Linked DNA regions of Yarrowia lipolytica. The protein of the gene in region 2 binds, or shares a complex with, the protein of the main gene of each other region. Links are inferred from orthologs where the notes say so. Each region holds a gene or a part of one and is shown on either strand. Other genes may lie near its edges. The genes, in order: YALI1_B27293g and YALI1_E28033g.

Region 1 (8,830 bases), on a different chromosome or scaffold from region 2:
ACAATGACGTGGACACCCTCCTGGATGACTCGGATGTCCTCGGCGACGGAGGTACCACCAATGCAGGCGTGGCACTCAATCTTCATGTACTCGCCAAAGGCAAGGACAACCTTCTGGATCTGGTGGGCCAGCTCTCGAGTGGGGGCAATGATCAGAGCCTGGGGCTTCTTAATCTTCTCGTCAATGTTCTGCAGAGCAGAGATAGAGAAGGTGGCAGTCTTACCAGTACCAGACTGGGCCTGGGCAAGGACATCGTTACCCTTGATGACGGGCAGGATGGCTCGCTGCTGAATGGAGGAAGGGTTCTCAAAACCGTAACCGTAGATACCTCGGAGCAGCTCGTCCTTGAGTCCAAGGTCGTCGAAAGAGGTAACAACCTCGTCGTAGTTGGTGGTGATCTGGGAAGAATCGATGTCGGTGAGTCCGTCGGCCATTTTGTTTTCAATTGGTGTTTTTTATCAAATATACCTTGTTGCACAAATGTATATGTGTTCAAGAGTTGAAGACCCAAAACTGAAATACCTAATAAAAATTTTTCCACACGGCCTACCCTAGCCCTATATATGCGAACTTTGAGCGAAACTCACTAATCGGCATATGGGCCACGAACGCCCCTCGTCGCCCCAACGTAATTATATGGCCCTTTTTGACCGGTTAAATGCGGCATTGTGGTGCGTACTATGGCTTATGTGTGTCCCAAACTGCCGGGCCACGTCAAATTACAACGATCCCCCACTCAATTGTACCAATCAAAGGCATGCTTTTTTTTTTGCCCATTGATCACAGCCAACAGAGTTATGCAGCAAAAAGGTGGGTGTTCTTGCAAGGAGCAAAAGAAGGAAAAAGTCACGTGTGAAACCCACCTTTCAAGTACTTATCCTCAACTCAACGTATTGTAGCAAGGGGTTGGCACTGGCATTAAGCGAGTGGCACAGTTATGGCAGGATTGTAATATTACGATGAGCACAGATTTATGGAGCGGGGTAGCCACATGCATAGAAAGGAAGCCTCAAAATTATTGAAGCGGTCAACCATAGACAAACACCAGCATGTAAGCACAAGTATCGCGCTTGTACCAGTATTCACAAGTAATCGCTTCCTCTAAGGCTGAACAGGGGCAATAGGGTTATCATGATCTATGACTACGAGCATGCTTTGGGTGTGCGCCGGAAATCAAATGAGAACAGGGGGGAAAAATCGGAAATGGAATACTGGACACTATGGACGTCACATGACTCAAATAAGGCTAATCCGAAGTGAAATCGATTGTTCAATTGGGCAATATTCGGGTGCATTGATACTAGCTGACTAAGCCGCCAAGTACACGCGACAACATTAAGCACGCATCCCCAGATCAATCAACGTCTCACCAGCACACACAACCAAAAATACCATACACCATGTCGGGCAAGCGACCATCTGTGGCCCAGAAGCGGCTCATGAAGGAGTACAAGCAGTTCATTAGTGATCCTCCCCAGGGAATCAGTGCAGGTCCTGCTGACGAAGAGTGAGTGAAGTGGGGAGACACAATCACATTCAGGCTGACATGGTGTGTTTCATGCGGTGTCCGGAAAGACGATAATATTGTTACGGTCCATTTTCGGGGCCAAACAAACATCGACTTCATCCAGTCAGTTTGATTACACATTTGTCCAGTAATATGTCATGCTGTTTCCTTGTGCTTATGATACCCGGTTACAATCCACAATCATGCCACAACTCCACTAACACAGTAACTTTCTACTCTGGGAATGTCTGATACAGGGACCAGATGATACTCCGTACGAGGGTGGCCTGTTCCCCGCAACACTCAAATTCCCCCAGGATTACCCCCTGTCCCCTCCAGTGATGAAGTTCACCTGCGAAATGTACCACCCCAACATTTACAAGGACGGAACCGTGTGTATTTCCATTTTGCATGCTCCTGGTGACGATCCCAACATGTATGAGAGCGCTTCGGAACGGTGGTCGCCCATCCAGTCGGTAGACAAGATTCTGCTGTCGGTGATGAGCATGCTAGCCGAGCCCAACGACGAGTCAGGGGCCAACATTGACGCCAGCAAAATGTGGCGAGACGACCAGGAACAGTTTGTCAAGATTGTCCGAGGAACTGTTCGAAAGGCCTTGGGATTATAGGTAGTGCATGGGACGTTACTAGAGGTTGAGTGCGTCAAGGAGTGATATTATCGAGTACAATAGATTAACGAGTTTGATGGTGTTGTAAACAGAGGTGACTACTATAAAAGAGTAGCTGAAAACCAGCAGTGTCAACTGAAAGTGGTGCAGTTGCGGTTAATTGTTTGGAAGCATTTGCATGTCTGCCTGAGCTCACTTCAATGATCTACAAGTACAGTAGCTACTTGTACTCGCTCAAGTATGTGATTACGATGAAAGAAGTGATACGCCGACTCCAGCCTTACAGTAATGTGCAATACTGTGCTCATTCTACTGCCGTTAGGCACAAGGTCCATGAGTCAACAACACATCAACTACCAAGCACATTCACACACACAACTCTATCAATCATACAATCTATTAAATATCCTTTTATGTGCTTAAACAGAAGTGGTCTTGAGGGTGTCAGTAACCTCCTCAGTCTCCTTATCCTCAGCGGTCTCCTCCTTTGCCTCGTCAGCCTCGTCAGTCTCGTTAGCCTCGTCAGCCTCATCCTCATATCGAATCTTGATGTTCTCATCCTCCTTGGGTGCATAATCATAGTTCTCCAGCAGGTAGTCAATGACATCCTCCTTGTCAAAGTTCTCGGCGGCGTAAAGCACATCTTGTCCACTCTGGTTCTTGACGAAGGGATCGGCCTTGGCCTCACACAGCAGCTTGACAATGTCCAGGTTTCCGTTTAATGCTGCCCAATGCAGAGCTGTGTTGCCCGAGTCGTTCTGGGCGGAAATGAGAGCGGCCTGGGCTTCGGCATCCTCTGCAACCAAACCAAGCAGATACTTGACAACGTCAATGTGACCGTTGGCAGCGGCATAGTGCAGAGGGGTGGATTCTGTGTACTGGTCCTTGACCTCTTTGAGGGTCTCAAGGGGCTTGTCCTGAGCGGAGAAGAACTTTTCAATGCTTTCGAGCTCGCCTCCTCGGGCGTCGAACATGACGTCGTCAATCTGGTCTTCTGTCAACATGTTAGCTGGTCCAATAATGTCCTCTGGGGAATGTGCAGGTGTAGTTGCGAGATAACAGAAAAATTTCTGACATGCATATCCCGAACTTTGATTCTGAGATGAAGGGGGCAACGATCATAGAGAGAGAGAACGATACAGAGGTAGATTGTGAAGACGAACGATTGAGTACACATAATTAATTGCATGGTTTCAAGTTTTTGTCATCGTGATAGTCCCACTGTGCGTTCCCAGCTTCATATCGATACTACAAAGTGTAGCTGGTATGTACATCATCCATCCACCCTGGGATCTTCAGTAGTCAATCTACGATACAGGGCACTATATTTCTTGTGTACATGTATTACACCAGTCGCACAAACACCCTACACCTGTAACTCACTTAAAAGGTCATGGCTCATTACATGTTTACATGTTCTACGTTCATTTTGGTATCGTCCTTTACTGGGTACCAAGAGTCTGGCCCGTTCCAGGGAAAGAAGTGGTGGGGTCAACGCTGCTGTTGCCTCGAGACCGGGTACCGGCCTCGAGATCGGCCTGGCTGGAGTTGGCCTGGAAGCCCAGGAAGTTGCCGCCAGACACGGACAGGGACCGGTTGGTGTCTGCTCGAGCGGCAGCTCGAGTGTCCAAAGCGCCCTCTTCTCGGTAGAAAGTGACGATGGACGAGGGGATCAGGTCAATGACTCTGGAGATCTTGTTCTCGATCCAGAGCACCACCTTGGACGAAGGCTCAATGAGTACGTCCAGGTAGCCCAGAGCCATCATCCAGCCAGCAATCAGTCCCAGCAGATGGCCAATGAAGGAAGAGCTGGGGATGACAATGGCAATGACAACCAGGTAGATGATGGGTAGAAGCCAAGTGGGCACCACGAGGTTGGGGGCCAGCTGGGTGGTAGGCTGCTTGGAGGACTCCCGGATGGCCCAGTATCCCATGAAGGAGAAGATCCAGGCGGAGGAGCCCAGGACAGCCTCATCGGGGAAGAAGCCGATAGACAACAGACACCAGGGAATGGCAGTGACAACAGCGAGAATGTTGAGCACGATTCCGGTTCGCACAGTTCCATTGACTCGCTCAAACTGCGACACAATGGGCTGTAGCGCCACAAGATTGAGCAGCAGATGGAACCAGGTGGCATGGACCAGGGGGTAGAATGAGATTCGGTTGACTAGTTAGCGAGGGGGAAAATAGTGGTGTGTTGTTGCGGTGTACTCACGTTCGAAATTGGTCAGGGCGGTGCTTCGCAGCTCCAGGTCGTCCTCAATCCACACATATCGCTGGGACAACAGGAAAATGACGGTCAGAAAAATGGGCAGCCCAAGCGACAGGGCCGGCGGGTGCTGTATCGCCTTTTGGAATTTCTGAAACAGCGGGAACTGGGCCATTGTGGGGTCGTAAGAAGGCAAGTTCGCAGAGCTGTTGATGGTTCAGTCTGATTAAAGTCTCTGTACTACATGTCTTGGGCGTCACGTGAGTAGGGTAAATGAAAATCCGACATCATAACAACACCTGTTTCGACAAGTGGTGGGCCCCACAGAGACCTGGAAATGCGATTTTTGCATTGAGCAATATAAAAAGATGAGACTGTTACAGAATGACACCCCAAAAGCAACCTCAGATACCCGCGGTAATGTACTCATGGAGAACTATTATTATCGCCTGGATAGTTTGGGACTCGCAAACTGTACAGGCAGCTGAAGCTTACTTATCTCCGGACACATTTAAGATGAGTGATGCGGGAATAGCTAAGACAGGGTTGCTTGAGAAGAGCATGACAAGTGAGAGGGAACAGCTGGAAGCTTTGCACGTTCTGTTTAAACACCTCTCACTACTTTTGTTCTACTCATTCACATCGCCCATCATCGTCCATTATATATAACTCACCATGTGACGTACGAGTTTAAGACATGAGGAGGATCTAAACTCAGCCCTGTTCAGCCGGCTCAGGACTGTAAGCGAGAAAAGTCAGAAGAACGAGACTACAGTTTCGTCGCCACTCTTCCAGAATAATGTACTCATACTAATACTTGTATGTTCATCAACTTCGGAAAAAACTTGGTGTGTACTTATAGTCTGATGAAAGAGATACCAGGGCTCATACCGAGGCAGCTCGTATCAATGCATACTGAAGATATAAATAAACTGGGTGCGTCGTTATCAGGGTAACAGATCAGAGTCAATCTGGCTCATCTCAAGATAACAGCAAGTCGTTGATATGAAAAGTGCACATCGCGTTTGATATATATTTGTGTTTCCCCCAGCCGTCGTCCTTTCCCTTCACCAGACACGGGATATATATATGCGCTTGTGCAACAGACATACATCAGACAGTTTGTAGCGAAGAAGGGGCAGTGACTAACAGTTCTCAGCCAGCGATTGAATAGGCCCGGACTACGGCTACAGCAGCTACATTTATCCAATCGCGTTGTCATTCGCTTCACCATTCGCTTCACACATGGCTCACACATGGCTCGCTCATGGCTCTATCACTCATCGTGCCACGTTAACTCATACTATATACATCTAAGCTTTGGGCTCAGTGGGCTGCTGGGGCACAGGAGGTAGAGAACCAATGCTGGAGACAGCCTCCGACAGGTTCTTAGGTCCCATAGCCTTCTGCTCAGCAATCATTCGCTCCTCCTCGGCCTTGAGCTTGGGGCCCTCAACGGCCAGGTACTCCAGGAACTTCTGGTACTGCTTCTGGCCCTCTCGTCGCATCACGTCGTGGGGCATCAGAGGCTTCTGCTGCTTGGGCTCGGAGACACCCAGGAACTTGGAGGCCCACTGGCCGTCCTTTCCGTGCTTGGCGTACCAGTCCTTTTCGAACTTTTCTCGGGCAATGGCCTCTCGTCGGGTGAACTCGTCAGGCAGATAGGTGCCATCAAAGGCCTTAAGAATGGGTCGAACGTCGTTCACGTTCTGAGACACCAGCCATTCCAGGAAGGGGATCAACTTGACCAGCTCCTTGTCGCCGGGAGTTCCCTTCCAGGGCTCGATGGGGATGGAGTTCTCGGGCTGCTTCATGGTGCATCCGGTATCGGGGTCGATGATGATGATCTTGCCCATATCTCGGTTCATCAGAGACAGGTCCTTGACCAGCTTACCGTCCTCGTAAGTGGTGTGCTCTCGGGTCAGAACGTGGGAGAACCAGGCGTGGTAGGGATCAAGCTTCATGATGAGCTTCTCGCAGTTGGCCATGTACTGAGAAGAGAAAAGAACAATCTCATAGTACTGGCCGAGGTAGCCCAGGAAGTAGTCAACGCCAGGTCGCTTTGCCACTCGCCAGCCATGCTCTCTGCTCCACTCCTGGTGGACAAGCAGATCGTCGAGGGCAATAACAAGCGTCAAAGGTCGCTGGTACGGGGGAGCAGGGGGATCGGGGAGAAGAACGGGAGCCACGGGGTCTCGGTAGAAGGAAAAGGTGTCTCCGATTCGAGCCTTGAGACGGGCCCACATGAGCATGGGGGTGTATCCCTGGCCAATGGTATCATGCTTCTTCTTGTCCTCCTCATTGTCCCAGTCTCGGGCCAGGTAGGCGGCGAAAGCTGCTGATCCAGCAAAGAAGGCGTAGTATCCGTAGCCGGCAATTCGCTCTCGAGACTCCTGCTTGGAGGTCTGGTCGGTGGACTTCTTGGCAGTTCCGGCCCATCGGGCTCGCTGCTCGTCTGTGACATCGTCCTCAGTAGCTCCCTCGGCAGCACCCTCGGACTTGCCCTCAGCAGCAGGCTTGCTCTTGCCCTTGGACTCATCAACGTCCATACCGGCCTGGGCCAGCAAATCGTCGTTCAGCAAAGAGCTCTGGAACGGTTGGTCGGATTTCTCGGTTTTTTTGTCCGAGTAGAATCGCACGGCGGGGGTCATGGCCCGCTTGACACCGGGACGTGCCACCCGTGCAATCTGGGCTGCTCGCAGTAGACTGTGCATTGTGGATGATGAAGAGTCAATGTGCAGTGGAAAATCTAATATACTTTGTTTCGGGGCCTACAGACTTCTACAAGGCGGTAATGTGGAGTGACATTTGCCACTGACGAGAGCCAGTGGACTTGGGTGTTATAAGGCAGCTTGGGTGGCGAGTATTCCCACATTTTTATTTTGAGGATTTCCATTTCCGCCATTCTATTCATCTTTACGTTGGTCGTTTAGCCCTCCGTATGGATTTTCTGTACACTTCTTTAACCCCGAAATTTCAACGGTGAAAATGACGGTTCATGTTTTCCTTTGGGTTCTAAAAGTGATGTCAAGTGATGCGTTCTGAGAAATCGAGTGCGTCTCCCACCAAAAGTGTAATTGTCTTAGTCAGACACCGGCTTGATGTCGGTGATGCTGGGGAGGGAGGTAGGGTCGATTTTGAGGGCTAAAATAAGACAATAACGAGAGGTGATTCGTCTAAGTGTACTGTCTGTCACTATCTTTACAGATTGGTATACTTTTCGAGATGTTGTCTTTATCAGAACCCCAACTAATTTCCAACTATTTGAGCCATTGGTACTTAACCTATTACTTACAGGAATCCCTTATCTTTCTTCACTGATTCGATCGAACACTGCCCCTTGCATAGCAAGTCCAGCTTCGAGCTTACAGCGAGCTTACAGTGCACACAGAAAAAGCCGTGAGTGTTTGTATGGCTCCCATACAGCTATTTGTAGGTTGCCAGGTTGGGACACAGGGTTAGGACAATGATCGAGAGATGTTACGAGCCACAGGTACGAGTACAAGGAACCCGAGCCAGGGAGAGCCATAAAGGGCTCGCATCGCAAACGAGGCTACCAGTTGGGAAGTATTCGGTCCAAATACAACATAGACAGGCTCAGAGTAGTGTAGCTAGGTAATTAGTCTAAAAAGTGATCGGCGGGTTTTATGTGGGTTCCATGGGGACTGGGCGGCATTTATATGGAGCTGGTTGCTGAGTGATATGAAGAAGCGTTGTATACCTCTGAAACACAAGACAAAACAATACCACCAGACGCAACTATTGTCTGGTTGCTACCGGTACTCGCGCGTACATTGTCACCAAACAACATCAGCAGCAATACTTATATATGTACGTACAGCTTTTTAATATACTTATGCCCAATCCACAACTGCGATAATGGTATCTCAAAACCTCCAAACCCAATAAATGACACTGCATGCTGAGAGAATTGAGGTTAACCGTAAACGGGAGAAGTTGAGAGCTGCTAAGAAGAATAATATCAGAACTGGCAGCAACGGAGGCTGTATATGCCGCAAGACAGTAGTGATACAACCACAGCCCCACCATACACTCTCGTCCTATCATCTGCAATTTCGTTCCAAGACAAAGTTTGGACTGGGTGCATGAAAAGAGGTCTGTTCCACGTGCCTCCACTCCAAGACAAGGCGGTCAGTATAGACTGTGCGTAATACAGACCGTGTGTCTGTTACCCGGAAGACCGCAGCTTATCAGCCGTATGAGGTCACTGAAGGTTAGGGCATTTTGTGGGGCTGAGCGCTCCCAGATGTGCACTTGTCTCACAGCCGTAGGTTTCTTACAGTACAGTACGTGTTGTGTTATAACGACAGTGGTGTTAGAGGTGGGGAAATGAGGCTGGTAGAGTGGTGTTTAAAGGAAGTGCTCTTTTGAATCTACAGTACAAGTACGAGAATTGCACAATCCGTCATATGTGGACTAGTGAAAAGCCGTTTAAAACTGGGGCTTGGATAACGTGAGCACCTG
Region 2 (8,840 bases):
AGGTCGGTTGGCAATGCTGGCAATGTCGGCAATGTTTGTGATGTCACTCAGTTCAGAAGTGGACACAGATAAATCTCTGGAATGCACGGACGAAGAACTACGCCTCCCCCATATCTCGTTTTCCCTCGGTAAACCCCTGCAGACGTAGGGGAGGTAGTTGGAGACAACAAGAGACGCGGGAGCCGAGGCGACAAGACCCACGTCCGCCAAACTCATGTTGCGAATATGAAACTCCGTGTCCGAACGCAATGGGGGCTCTGTGGCTGGAGAACGAACTGGCTCCCCAATCATGCTCTCCAGACGCGCGTGATACAGCACATTGTATGTGTATATTCTTGACTTGAGATCGTACATCTCGTCCTCGACAAAATCTGTAGCATGAGGATACAGAGGGTAGGAAGACCCCACACATGCACCAGGCGCAGACTCATTGCGCAGCATGAGCAACTCGGAAGTCGATAGCATGATCTTGCACATGCCAATATTTTCCATGGGCTCCATTTGGTCGATGCACAGCTGGACGTGTGGAGAAGACAGAGCTGAAGGGGGGATCCAGGATACAGGGAACGGACTCATGTTGATGTCGTTCCAGTAGCCGTACTTTGGGTTTTCCTGCTCGTAGCCCATATCCTTGATGTCGTCGCATTGGCTGCTGCCATCGTCATCCGAGTCCTCGACCGAACACACCTCGAACAGCTGTTCGTGCAGCTCCTGCTGGAAGTGATTGCGCTTCACCTTCTGGGGGAAGTAGACCTGAGGACTCATGAGGATGCGAGGATGCATGGGCAGCGACTTGAGCCACCGGCCGACCTTGGAAGCAAAGGTCATGTTTTTCTCCTGCCGGGGCTTGAATGTGCTCCAGGGGATGCCCTTGGTTGCATACGGAGTTGCCTCCAGAGCTTGGCTCTCCACGCGCTCAATGTTGAGCATGAGAATGCGGTGGAGCTCTTCTTCTGTAAACTCGAGATTGGAGAATAGGTTGGAGTCGTCTCGACGGATATCCGGAGGGATGAGAAGGTGCTGCACAAAGTCAGCAAAGGTTTCGGAACTGGTGGACGATGACGACGACTCGGTGGAGTACGAGTCTTCTGGGGCAGGGTCACAGAACCCGATCATGTCAACCGCCAGAGCAGTTGGGTGTCGCCGGTAGTTGGTATGTGGAGATAAGGTCTGGTAGTATCGATTAGTGAGATATTTACTAAAGGTATCCGTTTGTGTCGTCGAGATATCTGCCTTGCTCTCCACCTATGGTCTCCACCTGTGGTATCTATCTGTCGTCTTCGTGTCTGTGTCGTCTCGTAGGTGTCTCTGAGTCTGTGTCAAGACAATGATGAGATCTGATATCGTGTCTGGGTCGTATCTGGATCGTGTCTGGATCGGGTATCGTTCGTCGAATCTGGCAGTTCAGCTTTGGTATCTGTGAAGCAACTGACACTTGTAGCGAAGAAGATGGGTGCTTGTGGAGTGCACTGTGACACTCTGTGGGTAAGAAGCTATGTTTGTGTGAGATGCTATTTAGGTGGCAGGACATCACCACTGGCGCTGTGGGACATTTGAGTGTAGTTAAATAAATTAAATAAGATTTAAATAAATATTTAATAAATAATAAATAATGAAATATAAAATAAATAAATAAACATGGACAGAAAGAGCCAGTTGGAGCAGTTCAAGAGCGAATCAAGAAGTGGAAGTGACAATGTCGTTGCTGTTGCCACAATGGACCTATCGCAGTAATCTGGAGTCTATGGCCTCAGGTCAATCTCGGGAGAGTGGGTTGGGCTCAGGAACGTCAGGGGTGGTGTAGGCAGCTCAGGGTCGGGCATAGGAGTCGACTTCTGAGGCTGAAGGGTGTCTCCGGGGCCGATTAGAGTGAGGTCTTGGAAGAGATGGTGACAGTGTGGACGAACAAAGGGTTGGAGGTACATGGGTAGCGAGAATGACGGAGATGGTGGTGTACTCTTCCTCACAGTCACAGTAGGAGGACAGTAATCTGTGGTAACTGTGGTCTTGGAAGGGTTTCCGTTGAATCGGTGGTGGTCAGGGGAGTAGTTCCGGGCGTAGTCATAGGGAGAGCTCCATCTGGGTACAGAGGTTGTGGGATTCACAGGCTCGCTAGAGCTAACGTCCGTGGTGGTGGTGTATGTGGTAGATCCTCCAGGAGTGCCCACATGGTAATGACGATCCCCAAGTGGTCAGCTGGGGTGATTGGCGCATTGGTGATGGTTCAGAGCAGTAAGGAGTGAGGTTCATGAGATCCATGACTGACTGGGACAGCCTGGCTTCACTTGTTGTGTTTCTCATCTCTTTTATGAAGCTGACCGAGATCGGAAGAGCGGTTCAGCATAAAGTCTCTGTAAGAAAGTACCATCCATCTATTCATCCTTTCAATATTACTCTCTAGTGTCATTCTGATTCTGTCAATTCCTGTTGTCGCAGTCGAGTAAACGTGGACTAGATTAGATGCTGTGTGAGATTCGAAGCCTAGAGGATATCCTAGACGGCAGATACCGTGTACTGTAGCTACTACATACTGTAGATGTCATATCATTCCACCTCCCACTCTATCTAACCAACACTCCATTCAGACAGTCTCCGTTGCAAACATAGTCCAACTACTCCAGCCGTTCCCTATCCAACTACAGTACCTATTGAGATCCGGTCTGACTGTAGTCACGATCAGGACCCGCGTTGTACTTCCTATTGTACTCTTCTACTGTCTCTTCTACTGTCTCTTCTACATACTGTACTCTTCAACTGTACTCTTTTACTACGACATTCTGCTTTCAGACCCTCGGGATGAGCTTTCAATTGGGGCGATTGGAGTGGTTGGAGTCTCTGAATCTCTGAATCTCTGAATCTCTGAATCTCGTCAAGTGAACGATTGCACTTGTCCCAGAAAGGATACGCCCCTGTCCATTCTGAATCATCCGGCAGACTATACAGATCTGTGGGCATGAGAACAATGTAAAGTCGGCCAAAATGGAAATATCGGAAATCTGAGAGACTATTGGAATCCCTTATGGTCAGTTTAGTGGATCTGGGTATTGCAGGAATCAGAAGAGTACTTCAAACAGCGGATCTGTGGGTCGTCAAGTTGTATTGTAGGACGGCTGAGATGGCCTCGTGAAGTGCCATATATCGCAAGTTGACAGGCTTCAGACGTGCCAAACGAGTTGATTACAGCAGCAAATTGCACCGTCAATTGTCCTGGTGTGTCTACAGTTGGATTTATCATCTATTATTTTCCCAGTTCGGGCTCTTAAGTAATATCCAACAAACAACACTTGGAAAAATATATTGAAATGTCGATGGCTCCTGGATAATAGTATTATGCGAGTAGAAGATCAGTACATATTTGTTATTGAACGACATCTTCTCCGTTGAATGACATACTATAAAACGCTGTGGAATGTCTGGAGCCCGAGAAATGGACCCCCAGCGGACTTTCCTTGTCAACTAAATGTCAACTAAATCTGAAACATCGCACAGTGCCTACAGTATGACATACATACAACAGCCCACCCTGCGTACAGCAACAGTGAACGAATCAGCGGGTCAGAAATTTGTCATTGGTCACTGGAAAGACCTCATTATAACCGACTTTGTCGTTTCCACAGCTTGACGGTATCATCTAGGGCATCATCTAGGGCATCATCTAGGGCATCATCTAGGTATCGTTTCCAGACCGCTGCTGTCTTCTACCGCTCAACATGTGGTTCTCAAAGGACGCACCGGGCTAATTAAGACATGTCTGACGTCGCTGTTGGTCCGACGTGACAATCGCGACAGTGGGCGCGCTGTCTCGCATTCTGTACTTGTACTTCTATAGTACAGACTCACTACAATCCATCATGGCGGATTAACGAATAATTTTATTTTGACTATTTGCCTAATCAGACTTAAGCCTCAACGGGCTCGGCAGCAGCGGGAGCAGCAACCTCAGTCTTGACAACGTAAGACTTGACCATGGGCTCGGCAACAACAGCATCCTCCTTGGGCTCGAAGATGGTGACGGCATCGGGCAGAGACTTGGGCACACCGGGCTTCTTGGAGGTGGCGGGGTCTCGCATGATCTTGACCTTGACACCGAGCACACCCTGTCGCAGCAGAACGTGTCGGGTGGCAGTGTCAATGAAGTCGTTGACGGGCTGACCGGAGTGGATCATGAAACCGTCGGCAAACTTCATGGACTTGGCTCGGGCAGCTCGCAGCTTTCCGGAAACAACAACCTCAACACCCTTGGCGCCGGCGTCCATGACGTATCGGACAACACCGTAAGCGGCTCGTCGGATGGCCAGACCGTTGAGCAGCTTGTACTTGACGGACTCGCACTGGGCAACGGCAGACAGACCTCGCTCCTGGACTCGCTCAGCGTAGATGGTGACGGATCCCTCGGGGAGTCGGAATCGCTTCTGGACCAGAGACATGAGCTCTCGGATTCGTCGGCCGTTCTCACCAAGGACCTTGTTGGTGTGGGTGGCTCGGACAACAATCTCAGTCTTGGTGGGGGTGAGTCGGACCTCGACGCCGGAGTATCCCTCCTCGGCGAGCTCTCGGGTGAAGAACTCGTTGAGCTCGGCGTAGAAAACACCGTCGGCGACGATCTTTCGCTTCTTGGAAATGGTGACAGTGGAGGACATTGCTGTTGTGTGTGTGGATGGATTCGCGCAGAATGGGATATTTTGCCTGCTGGGAGGTGAGTCGTGAAAATTCTGAACCTTGTTTTGCCAGTTAGGGCTAAACCCTGTCACGTGTTGAGTCTTTATTGGGAGGTTTGGACGCTTATGTAATGTGCGATTTAGAGATGTGCGGTAATGGTGAGCTTGTGTTTGGCTGTATTGGGAAATTTTGGTTGTTTTTGGGCTGTATTGATCCAGAAAGTGCTCAAAAATAATAATAAAATAAATAAATAAATAAAAACCGTCAGGTTTGTATGGTAAAATGGGTATTCGAGATCTAAGACAAGGTAAGTAAAGTAAAGTAAAATTGTAAGGAAAGTCACCCTAGTCTAAATTGTGCGATCTTACAAAAATATAAATATAATAAAAATAAAATAAAAATAAAAATAAAAAAAAAAAAAAAAAAATAAAAACGAAAACACATAAAAAAACAATATTAAAAACCCCTCAGGTGGAGCGGAGCTACCAGTACAGGTACTCGCATTCTCACTCGCACTCTCTCACTCGATCATTACCAAATAGCCTCCGCCAACTGCATCGTCTGTGTATTACAATTCACGGGAATTAGTTGGGAGTTTTGTTGAAAATGAGGAAGAAAGGGGGACTTTGTAGGGCGCTGGAAGACGCTGGAGGACGCTAGAGGACGCTAGAGGACGCTAGAAATGATTAAATTAGACACAAATCACCAATATAACCATTCTATTGCCTTTATCGTCCACCATCACCATGACACCCACATGACGCCGTTTGCAACTCCCCTTGAGGCCGTGTGCAACTCTCCGAAGATAGGAACAACTCGCGACAACTCGCATCAACTCGCATCAAGACGGCCCCGGGATGATGGCAAAAGTAAGCCCAAAACTCGGTTACGTAATCAAGTATAGCCCCACAAGCGCCGTTAGCAAAAAAATTAACCTCCCCCAACCCCCAGACACAGATCTAACCCCAGAATGTTGTTGAGTTGTCCAGCCCTGCCATAAGTTGGGAGGGACCTGAGACAGGCCTGAGACAGTTGTGAAAACGAGTGATATTGAAGGGGCCCCGAATGGAGGCTAAAAATCGCAAAAAATCACGAAAAAATGACCGAAAAAATGACCCGCTTAGGTAATTTGAGGTCTGGATTTTTATAGCCCTTTGTCCCACCATTCTCATTTCCCATATTCCGGTGTCCCAGTTCACCCCCCCCCCCCATTACCCCCCCCCTCTAATCTTCCTGTCATAAGGTTCAGTCAAGTTTAACAAACGCTGACACCATCACTACAGACGTGTTTGCACCTCTGACCAGACACATTTATCGCCACCATGCCGACATCTGCATCCTCCATTTCGTCCGCGCTGATTCTGTGCGCCACGTCCTTCTCTCTGGGCGTTCTGTACTCCAACTGGCCCTATGATTTCTTCACTCTGTGGACGGCCGCTCCGCCGGAGTCTCGATACACCGCCTCTCTGGACCACTACAAGGCGTGGTACGACTGCCCCATGTTTGTGTACCACATCCACCACACGGTGATCGGACTGGGGCTGATTGGCTTCTTCATCAAGCTGTACAAGCCCAGCGAGTCCAACAAGCTGTTTGACGGCGGCTCGCTGTTTCTGTACATGGTTGGCGTCACCATCTACCTGACCAACATCCGACGGGGCCTGGCGTCGGCCGTGGACGGCAACTGGGGCGACGTGGACGAACACACGGGAATCAACGTCATTGCCGCCTCCCAGGTCATGATTGTCTTTGTGCTTCTCGGCGTGCTGGGGCTCCAGGTGGGCCAGTGGTGGGCCGAGCGAGAGGACGCCAAGCTCAAAAAGAAGTTTGACGACGAGGAAAAGAAGGAAAAGAAGGACAAGAAGGAGTCCAAGGAGTCCAAGAAGACCAAGTAGGCCTACCGGTAGTGGATAGTACAGGGCTCTGTGCGTAAAAGTGAGGTATGTACGTGAACGTGTTGTGTATTAGGACTGTGTCCGTAGTTGAATACAAGAGTAGGTAGTACCAGTACAGCGCCGTCGTACGGATCTCGTTGTATTGTCTTTCACGCTGGTATGGCTGTAGTTGTTCTGCAAGTGTTCATACTGCGATCTAGTTCATCGTTGGAGCACATCTCCCGGTTGTCGATACTTCAACCACTACTGCTACAAGAGAGCTATCTACAACCCAGCTTGTCCTGACTGACTGCTTCAACTGATTGTACTTGAATTGAACATGTTCCAACTACTTGTGCTCCGTCACTGTGGTATAAGACAAGTTGGAAGACTTGAGCTCAGCCTCTCATAAGAGCCTCCAAGTGGCTCCAGAAACACTTTGATAGAAGGAGACCAGAAGAATCAACTTTTTTGATTAAGAGTTTCACCCATTGTCGCTGGTATCATCCTCTTGGAGTGTTGTACTACATCTATGTCGCTCTTGGTGAATACTACAAGTAGGTGACTTCTGGACCGAATCAAGACCAACTCTCCCCTTCCTCAGATGTACAGACCGGCACTTCCTTTCTGATATTGTTATCGCCTTCTCCAACACTGTCTCGATCGTGTCTCACCATGCCTGCTCTTATCCAGCCTATCACCTTCCGCCATCTCTCTATCACCAGTCGCTACCGTCGCTGTTGTCACTACGTAACATTCTATACATCTTGCTGTTACATATTTATATATGTCGCCTCCACTCTGCTCTCTTGTTATTACACCTACAGTAATTGAAAACCGCTCTTATCGCAGGGCTGTGCAGAGCCGTGCGTCGATAACGATAAGGACAGATGTGGTCATAGACCATAGAAACGTGTAGTGGGCAGTAGCGGTGGTGGGGACTTGAAAAATATGAATAAACCGGCTGTTAAATGGCCCTCCTCCCCGTTTTTCCCCGCATTTTCCTCCATATCTACCAAAATGGTCACTGCTTTAGACCCTCAACCTCCCACAGGAAGATCGTCGCCCATCGAACCTAACGGTGGAGATTGCCCACTGTGACCCCGGTGATAGACACGGGGAAAACACGCAGCTTGTGGAGATTAGATACACGGCTTGATTGGCTGAAAGGAGGCCGGCGAGAGATAGGATCAGAAAGTGGATCAAAGATAGGGCGTGAGCTGTGATAGGAAAGATAGGATATGATAGGGAGATTGAGCTGATATGATCTAAACGTCATCTGTAGAGACACTGACAAACAGACACGTGACCAGGGAAACACGTTACTGGTAAACACGTGATCTAGAACCGATCACCACTTCATTTTCTGGAAGAGGAAGTTCAATATCAGTCACTTCAGAGCCCATCTGTAGAGTAATACAAGTACCCATATCAACAGTATCAACAGTATCAACAGTATCAACAGTATCAATAATCATCTGACACCAGGCTTTTGGTATTGTCTGATCCGTCTGATCACTCTGATCCGCCTGGTATCTCTGATCTGCCTTACACCTCTCCCTACCCTATCATCTCCCTACCCTATCATCTCCCTACCATATCATCTCCTACCCTATCATCTCCTACCCTATCATTCCTCTGCTCATCCAGATCTACTATCTCTTACTCGAGCTCGGATTTCGACGGTGATTTTTCTGCCGGAATCGAACCCTTTGACAACCCCATCCCACCACTCCATGTCTCATTGCTCATTCCGATCCTCTTCATGATCATAAGGCCATTCCAACCGAGCGATATGAGACACGCCATCACCCCATAAACATCCCACACCGGCTACCCACGGCTATTTGTGCATTATCAGACCGTCTCCAACTCAGTCATGGTATGCACTTTTAGCACCGATAGCGGATAAGAGACTCTATCGTGAGATGCCGATCGCCAACCCCATCGCAAGATGCCGATAACCTATCAACAGCCTGATCAACTCATATCGACCAATCACCCAACTTGTTCTATCTCAAGTACAAGTAGCTATCACACGCCTATCTCGTATCAATATCAACCCCACCAAACTAACATCCACCCACCCCGATCATACATCATAATCGTTATCGTTACATCATTACATCATGGCAATCAATGTCTACCGTAAAAACCATAGACTACTCAAACGAGGCGTACTCCACCGACGTGTTAGACAGCGGTTGGATATGGACCCGCTTCTTCTCCAGAATCTTGGTACGCGGCGTCACGTCTCCCAGCGGATTTCCCTGCTCCACAGGCTCCTCCTCGGACGGAGAAGACCCC

The links.
Region 1: the proteins of YALI1_E28033g (region 2) and YALI1_B27293g are in contact, whole or in part, in a crystal structure (PDB 4BSZ), measured with the Saccharomyces cerevisiae proteins. The link is inferred for Yarrowia lipolytica from reciprocal best matches to the Saccharomyces cerevisiae genes RPS3 and YAR1. Residues at the interface, in NP_014221.3 of Saccharomyces cerevisiae: Asp14, Gly15, Val16, Phe17, Tyr18, Ala19, Glu20, Asn22, Glu23, Thr26, Arg27, Ser35, Arg76, Arg94, Gln101, Ser104, Phe107, Lys108, Asn111, Gly112, Leu113, Arg117, Tyr120, Gly121, Val123, Arg124, Tyr125, Glu128, Ser129, Ile158; in NP_015085.1 of Saccharomyces cerevisiae: Arg21, Glu46, Glu48, Ser49, Met56, Ala59, Asn60, Asn90, Thr92, Asn94, Trp99, Leu102, Asn103, Phe121, Phe126, Gly127, His128, Asp129, Ile131, Phe132, Glu133, Glu135, Asn136, Gly138, Glu140, Glu141, Glu143, Thr144, Leu147, Lys148.

What each region holds. Positions count from the first base shown.
Region 1 is NC_090771.1:2,723,674-2,732,503, reverse strand, and holds YALI1_B27293g (uncharacterized protein), read right to left. Parts: upstream 3,141-8,830; coding exon 2,556-3,140; downstream 1-2,555. Other genes in the region: YALI1_B27320g (uncharacterized protein), read right to left, coding at 1-434; YALI1_B27307g (uncharacterized protein), read left to right, coding at 1,401-1,507, 1,734-2,136; YALI1_B27280g (uncharacterized protein), read right to left, coding at 3,579-4,303, 4,352-4,520; YALI1_B27254g (uncharacterized protein), read right to left, coding at 5,659-7,059. UniProt on the Saccharomyces cerevisiae protein: Required for normal rate of cell proliferation.
Region 2 is NC_090774.1:2,798,651-2,807,490, forward strand, and holds YALI1_E28033g (40S ribosomal protein uS3), read right to left. Parts: upstream 4,641-8,840; coding exon 3,900-4,640; downstream 1-3,899. Other genes in the region: YALI1_E27997g (uncharacterized protein), read right to left, coding at 1-1,116; YALI1_E28046g (uncharacterized protein), read left to right, coding at 5,982-6,554; YALI1_E28052g (uncharacterized protein), read left to right, coding at 6,602-6,653, 6,931-7,094; YALI1_E28070g (uncharacterized protein), read left to right, coding at 8,413-8,415, 8,488-8,685; YALI1_E28097g (uncharacterized protein), read right to left, coding at 8,696-8,840. UniProt on the Saccharomyces cerevisiae protein: Component of the ribosome, a large ribonucleoprotein complex responsible for the synthesis of proteins in the cell.